Linked DNA regions of Cricetulus griseus. The protein of the gene in region 2 binds, or shares a complex with, the protein of the main gene of each other region. Links are inferred from orthologs where the notes say so. Each region holds a gene or a part of one and is shown on either strand. Other genes may lie near its edges.

The links. The genes of interacting proteins can lie anywhere in the genome.
Region 1: the proteins of Zmynd8 (region 2) and Dbn1 are in contact, whole or in part, in a crystal structure (PDB 5Y1Z), measured with the Homo sapiens proteins. The link is inferred for Cricetulus griseus from reciprocal best matches to the Homo sapiens genes ZMYND8 and DBN1. Residues at the interface, in NP_001350670.1 of Homo sapiens: Gln167, Pro168, Gly169, Thr170, Gln236, Ile237, Val240, Lys243, Ile244, His247, Trp269, Leu285, Gly287, Phe288, Phe307, Gly309, Gln310, His311, Asp312, Ala314, Thr335, Lys336, Ser337, Ile338; in NP_004386.3 of Homo sapiens: Met1, Ala2, Phe6, Ser7, Arg10, Leu11, Leu14, Tyr17, Glu18, Asp92, Ala93, Cys96, Ala97, Ala99, Ser100, Lys104, Glu107, Phe108, Gln110.

Annotation. Positions count from the first base shown.
Region 1 is NC_048596.1:274,473,039-274,477,135, forward strand, and holds the start of Dbn1 (drebrin), read right to left. Parts: upstream 2,804-4,097; 5' UTR 2,659-2,803; coding exon 2,573-2,658; intron 1-2,572. UniProt on the Homo sapiens protein: Actin cytoskeleton-organizing protein that plays a role in the formation of cell projections. Required for actin polymerization at immunological synapses (IS) and for the recruitment of the chemokine receptor CXCR4 to IS.
Region 2 is NC_048599.1:13,617,664-13,621,269, reverse strand, and holds part of Zmynd8 (protein kinase C-binding protein 1), read right to left. Parts: intron 1,924-3,606; coding exon 1,843-1,923; intron 346-1,842; coding exon 267-345; intron 1-266. UniProt on the Homo sapiens protein: Chromatin reader that recognizes dual histone modifications such as histone H3.1 dimethylated at 'Lys-36' and histone H4 acetylated at 'Lys-16' (H3.1K36me2-H4K16ac) and histone H3 methylated at 'Lys-4' and histone H4 acetylated at 'Lys-14' (H3K4me1-H3K14ac).

The DNA.
Region 1 (4,097 bases), on a different chromosome or scaffold from region 2:
CCCCATGACGCTAACACAGACATCTGTTCTAGCCCCAGACCCTGCTGGACAACGTCTCTCTACCATACCACAAGCACCTGGTGACCGGCTGGTGGGAACTGGGAGGCAAGCAAAAAAGTAAACGTGGATGAGGGGACTGTAGATGTGCTCCCCTCGGTAGCATTAAACCCTGGAGACAGTGACTGCCACAGACTGTCATGTCAGTTCTGTGAAGGCAAAACTCTGACTCTGCTAATACCAACTGCTGTCTCCGTCCTGGGTCCAGCTCAAAGTAGCACCACTGTAGGGATTTGTAATGTTGGCACAAACTCTTATCAACCATCTAAGCCACAGGCACGAGACTAGGGCAAGGTGAGAGTGGGACTTCAGCAGCTCCAGGCCTGCTAGGAGTGGAAGGCTGAGGACCAGCATACTGTCAGGGAGCTAGAGCTGGAAAGGCCCTGGAAACCCTGCAGGGGCTGTGCCCAGCCCCCTCTTCTCTCAGAAGCTTCAGAAGAGCAGGAACTTCTCACACAATGAATCATATCGTAACCAGGGTGCTGCTGGCCTTTCCAAATGCACAATCTGACTTCCCCAGTGTTCTGCTTCCAGCGCAAGGCAGTGGTCCTCTGAAGAGACCCTGCCACCTAGGGCTCAGCTTCCCTAAGCTCCACCACACCCACATTCAAAGACAGACACCAAATACTCATGCCCCAACATTTGGACCCAGGACCTCCTCCTGCAGGGCCTGCACTGAACCTTGGGACCTCACTCAGTTCCTGGCTGTGTGATAAGAGCTGGGAAGGATCATGCCATCTTCTGTAAAATGTGATCTTCACACCCTGTTCACAACATGCTGTTAGGCCCTTGGGAGGAAGCAAACATATATGCATTCCAGGGGTGTATATGTGCAGCTGTGTGTGTGTGTCCCACACACCACCCAGATGGGGCTGACGCATGCCAAGGATGCATAACTAACTCCCTTTGGCCACATGGATGTTGCTGGTGGTGAAAGCCCCGGCCTCTGCTGAGCAGGATGCGGGGCAGCAGGAGTTGGATAGGCCCAGCATTGTACTGCCAGTGTCTGCTTCTGAGGGGTTAAGAGATTTGGGGTGCTGCCTACACCCCCCCTAGACTGGGGAGGAAGGCAGGGTTCCAGTCAGTGTTTCTCCTCAGGCAGGGCCATATCCCCAAACCAGCTCTTCCACCAGTCCAAGCAGGCCACTTGCCCAGATTGCCTCCCATGATCTCAGCCCCCCAGGGACAGGGCTGGGACAACAATGTGGGGATTGCCTGCTTGGCCTGTTCAGCCTCTCCTATAACTGACCTGCAAGACACAAGAACTTGTCTCCTGAGTCCATCCCTCTGGGCCTGGCTGCCCGCCAGTGCTGCAGTACCATGGCATGGAGGCCTGGCTATTTTGTTCCCTCCTCCAGGCCCCCTACCTGGCTGCCCTCCCAGAGTGTGGCCAGCCCAACTGGGGTCCTCAGACCAGCCCCAACTCAAGAGGAGCCTACTTTCTGTCTGATGAGGTGAAGAGACCTAAATGCAAAATGGAGATTTGCTCCCTAAGAAGAACACTTGGGGGCTGTGTTCAGAATGGGGCATCAAACCCCTTGGTTTGCCTGACACCCTGGGGCTTCAGCCGCTGAGCAGGTGGTTTAAACCCTCCTCCACCTCAGGGAGGATAACAGCTGGGGAGGGGGAGAGACGCAGGTCCACTCATACCACCCTAATAAGAGGCTGACAGCCCCTGGTAGAGTGAAGAGGCTAGGGTCCCAGAGATCTACTCATCGTGGTATCCCTCAGCGGGGGCTCCCACCATGCTTCCTCCTAGCTGGCCTTCTAGACAAGCTGCCTGGGTCCATGTCCTGGGTCTCTTCCTGCCTAGCTGCCTAGTCCCTAACGATCTCCTCCTTCAGAAGGGGAGAGAAGGGCTCAGCCCTACCTCTCTTCCTCTGCGATCCGGGAGGGATAAAGGAGTCACTTCGTGGTTGCCATGTGGCCGTGCGCCCCTTTCTATCACACCCTAACCTAGATGTGGGGGGAGACAACCCTGAGAAGCCCCTGGTGGGCGGGGCACGCTGGCCCCCGGCCCTCTGCGCTCCTCCCCCGCCCTAGCTTTCCTTTGTGCTGTGGCCGGCCAGGCTGCTCCAGCTCCGCTAGCTCGGTCCCCGCCCCGTCCCCACCCGGTCCTCGCCCGCTCGAAGGTGGCGAAGGTGCCCTTGGCTGGCCCGTGCACACCTGTCCCCCGGGCCCGTGGAGGGAGGCTGGGGGGGAGGGGATGGGCTCCGGCGGGGCCGTAGGACCCCGGGCCCCACCTTTGAGCTCCACATCCGCGTGGCAGGCGTCCGGCTCCCGCGCCCCCAGTGCGCCCAGGGCGGCCTCGGGGCTCCCCGGCTCGCGCGCCCCGCCTGGCCCGACCGGCCCCTCCCCCGGCTCGCACAAAGGCAGCCCCTCCCCGGCTCTCCCGGGCCGTTGCACCATTTCGGGAGATCCCCCTCCCTTCCCGGTGGCAGAGCCTCCGAGAAACAAAGGCGCGGTGGCGGCCTGGGGACAAAGGGCCGGGGGCGGGGCGGGGGCGGGGGCTCACCAGTCGGCCGCGCTTTCCTCCCGGATCACCTCCTCGTACGCCGCCAGCAGCTCCAGGCGGTGGCCGCTGAAGCTCACGCCGGCCATGCTGCGGGCCGGACCGAGACCGAACGGACAGACGCACGGACGGACCGACCGACACCGGAGGGAGGGGATGAGGGAGTCGCCGCGGCCGCCTCAGAGCCTCTGCAGCGCTGAGAGCGAACGAGCCAGCGGCCGGGGGAGGGGAGCCGGCCGGCGGGGGCGGGGGGCGCTGGCTCCGCCCGGCTCACTCCCTCGGCTCGCTCGCTCGGTCCTAGCGCCGCCCAGGCCCGGCCCAGGGGGAGGTCCACCCCCCCTTCCCAGCTTGCCCCGGGGCGCCCCCATGCCCCTTGCCCCGCTGACCTGTACCCGGACCTTAAGCTCCCACTCTGCTCCCAGGGCCAGTCCCATGAACCTGCCTTGTCCTAGTCCCCAACCTAGTAGACACCCTCTCCCTAAATTCTAAACCCACCAAGATTCCAGGCCCAAGTTCACCCCTCTCTGCCTCCCCAGAATAACTGGTCCATTGAGCCCCTTGATTGATTTCACTCCAGCCGAACCTCACCTCATTCCCAGGTCCATCCCACCCTACATTAAACCCATTCTGGTCCTTACCCTGTCCCTGCTCCAATTTAGTTCCCCATCAAGCCAAGCCTGGGTTGTCAATAGCCCATTTCCTCCGTGAGGACCCCTCCTGGTCTACCGTCGTCACTCCCAGGGCCAAAAGCAGTCCTGTCCCAGCTAACACAGCACACCCCCTCTAGCTATGCCAGCCTGTCTGAATCCCGCTCAGACCCCTCTCCCTGACCATACCCCTCCCTCCATCCCTGCCCTATGACCTTGTCTCAGCCACTCTACCCCACCCAGCTCATCACCTGGCCATCCCAGTCATTTTCTTCCTCCTGGATGGGTGTCTAGGAAATCATTCTTCTTTTCCAAACACCGTACCTCCTAAGGAACTCCAAGTAGGGTCTCCAAGGCAGAGAACCTCCAAAGACACTCCAGGGTGAACTTTCTGGCGTCTGTTATTTCCCAAAGCTCTGAGCGCAGAAAGGCCTGGGCCTCACAGAGTCTCCTATGGGTAAGTGGAGGCACAGAAAGGCCTCCCGGCACTCTCTCCTGTGGAATGGAGGACGCTGGAGCCCCCCCCCCCCCCCCCGCAGCCCGCAGCTCCAGAAGACCTGTCCATCACCATCAACCCTTTCCCCAGGGAGGGGCCAGAACCCAGAGCCTGGCCAAGCTCTACTGGGGCTAATCTGTGAAGAGGAGGTGGTTTCAGTGAGTAGTCTCCTGCTCTGATTTGGTCAGTCATCTAGCCACGAAGCCAGTGTGTACGCTCACCGCAATGCTTTGGACTGGGATGAAGGGGGGAGGCTTTAAGATCCCACATTTCACAGGCCCTGCCTCAGGAGCTCTGGGTGCCCACCACACACACACACACACACACACACACACACACACACACACACACACACACACACCATCCCAGTTTCCCCACCACTCAC
Region 2 (3,606 bases):
AAATGGCCCCTCCATCCTGCATAAGTTCTTCTTGGCAAGACCAGTAAAGGGCCACCAAGGTGGCTCAGATGGCAAAGGTACTGTGGCCAAGACTGACATCCTGAGTTCAATCCCCAGAACCCACGTGAAGGTGGCAGGAGAAAAGAGAATGTGTTATCGTGAGAGGGAAGGTCTGCACTTGCACCCTCAGATCCCTGAGGACTGTGCTCTCCCCGACTCCAGGTGACTCCAGAGCAGCCAGAAGCTCACACCCACGGGGGACTCACCCAAGTTGTGTTTCATCTCAGCAAGCTCCTGCTGGTGTAGCCACTGCAGCTTCTCAATCTCAATCCTCAGCCTTCGAATCTGCAGAGAGGACAAAGGAGCCTGAGATGCCACCATGGCAGCTGGTCCCCTTGTGTCTGTCCCCAAGCTCTGCGTGACAGCCTGCCTCTGAGCCTATAGTCCCACAGCTCAGGTGGTGGATTATGTGGTGGGAGGAAAGAGATCACATTCATACAAACACACACACACAGTAAGTGTGTAAGGACTACATAAGAGGAACCTAGGGCTACACACACACACACACACACACACACACACACACACACACAAAGTACCCTAGTTCTGAAAGCCAAGCCAAGTGAGCCATTCTCCCCACAACCTACATAGGAGGCCCCAGAGCCAAGGGCCACCTGTGCCACATGCCTGAGCAACTGAGTGAGCAGCCACACGTCAATGCAGGAGTATGGCAGGGTTGGGGGACTGGAGGGTCGTGGTCATCCTAGCATAGGCTAGACCCAAGGTTTCAGGGGACACACGTGAACCAGAACTGCAACCACACACAAATGCTTAAAATGAACAAAAAGGGCTGAGTGTGGTGGTGCAGCCTATAATCCCAGCTCTCAGGAGGCAGACGCAAGGTTCCTTGAGCTCGGTGAGTTCGAGGCCAGCCAGGGATGCATCATGAATTCCTATCTCCCTGACCCCACTCTCACCCCCTGCCAAAAGAAAAAGTTCACTGGGGACAGAGAGATTTCTACTTGTTGATTGACACTGTCAGTGTCATACTTGACATACACAGAGTATCAGACTTAAAAATGCCAGGTACACCCTCTGCCCGCCATGCACATGCTTTTTTTTTTAAATCTCCATTGATTTCGTCAGGGCCTCTCATGAGCCCTGTCCTGTCTGTTGCCTCAAAGGCCAATGTTTCTGCTTGGGCTTCATTCCCAGCCTGCAGTACCATCTCCAGTGGCCTCAAGTAACCCTGTTCCCTGTGTGTCACCTGATGGCTGAATACAGGCCACCAAGCCACCGCCAGCACCATGCTGTCCACACAGGTATTAGCAGGTGGTCACTGAGTGACCTCCGAGGGAAACTCAGGGATAAACTTCTGTGTGTGTTTGTCTTTGAATGCGAGGATGCTTCATTATTTAACTATAAGAGGTGACTTTGTAAGTAAATAGTTTGGCAGTTTAACCACTGTCTGTCTTTGTTCACAGAGCTATGGTACCTCTGATTCTTACCTAAGTACTTTAGTCAGACTGGGTGGTGGCACACACCTTTAATCCCAGTGCTCAGAAGGCAGAGGCAGGAGGATCTCTGTGTCTGTGAGTTTGAGGCCAGCCTGGTCTATAGAGTGAGTTTCTAGGACAACCAGAGCTGTTACACAGAGAAATCCTGCTGGGGGTGGGAGGAGATGCACCAAGCACACACAAACCAAAGCTGGTGTCCAACTCTCACTGTGATCTAACAGGATGTAGGCAGGAAGCAGGACGAGTCTCCCTAGCCACCTGCTTAACCCAGCTTCCCAAGGCCTTCTAAGCCTGAACTGCTGGGGGATCGCCAGTTGCTACTGACCTCAGCTATTGTGCTCCCCGTGGTGTTTTTGGAGAGGTCATTGTAGATTTCCGTCATCGTCCCTTTAATGGCATCCATCATCTGAAAATATAAAAACAGAAGTCTTGCATGAATGGGGGGGGGCGCTCTGCAGCTTTCAGAGGTGATGGGGATGCAAACTCCCAGGCCCTGTTTGCTTCAGGCTGTCGAGATGCCTGGCAGAACAGGGTGGGGCTGCATCCAGCACCCCAGGGGTAGAAGCCAAGGAGGCTACTAAATGACCTACAGTTTACAGGACAGCCCCTTGCTGAGCTGAGAAACTGAAAGTCAGGGCCACCTAGAATCCCTTTTAGAGGTCAAACTCCACTCCCAGGTGTGTCGTGTTGAGCCCACACAAAAGGTTTAAGGAAGAGACTTATTTTGTTGCTTTAAGTTTTTTCTTAAAATTAAAATAAAAATTATAATCTTTTCTTTTTTAAAGGTTGGGTCCTCATGCATCCATCTGGTCTACCTCATTAAGTAGCTGATGACTCTGAGTTTCTGAAGCCCCTGACCGCACCCGGTTTTTAAATTCAGTGGTAGTCTGGTTGTTCATGCTAGACAAGCACTCTACCAACTATGCCACAACTCCAGCACACCAACATAATTTCTTTTGTGTTGAGTGAGTGTGAGTATGCGCCTACGTGCGCTTGCGCGTGCGCGTGCGTGCGTGTGCGTGTGCGTGTGTGTGTGTGTGTGTGTGTGTGTACTCGTGCACACAAGCGCAGGTATGCATGTGTCTCAGAGCATGAGTGGAGGGGTGAGGACAACTTTATGGTGTCAATTCTGTCCTCCCACATTTACTTGAGGGATCAAAGTCAAGTCACCATTACCCACTGAGCCATCCTGCTGACCCCAAAGCGCATTTTAATGAGATGTAATTAATACACTATCCACGTGACGTGCAATGCACAATCTGCAGGACCTGAGGTGCTACACTTCAGTGGCTGTGCGCCAACTCAAATACACACTTCAGTGGCTTTGCTTGTCTGGAGCTACACATCCAACAGCACAAGCAATTCTAGAACATTTTCAACACACACACACACCCAAGAAGACAACCCTACTCTTCCCTCAGTCTTCACTACCTTAGGAAACACCACAACCAAACTAACTTGGGGAGGAAAGGGTTTATTCTGTTACACTTCCACAGCACAGTTCATCATCAAAGGAAGTCAGGACAGGAACACAAACAGGGCAGGACGCTGGAGCCAGGGGCTGATGCAGAGACCAAGGAGGAGCACTGCTTATTGGCTTGCTCAGCCTGCTTTCTTACAGAACCCAGGACCACCAGCCCAGGGGTGGCCCCACCCACATATGGTGGGCAGTTCCACATCAATCAGTAAGAAAATACCCTTCAGGCTTGCATACAGCCCAATGTTACCAAGACACTTTCTCAATTGAGGTTCACTTTTCTTGCATGACTATAGCTTGTGCCAAGTTGACTTAAAACTAGCCAGCCCAACTCCCAACACCCCCATTACCCTCGTCTTCACCCAGGTCCCTGGGAACCACTTATCCACTTTCTGTTTCTATGGATTTGTATGACCTGGACCCAGCATAGAAATGTCAATCACCCCACACCAAGGCCTTAGGACTACGGTCTAGGAAGACTCCTTAAGTCTACAAAATGTACCATAGAGCGCACCTTGCCTTTTCCTGGTCCATCAAGTGGACATGGTTGGCTTGTCACTGCAATGCCTTCTAGGTTCCATGAAGCAGTCAAACTCAGATAGATACATACCA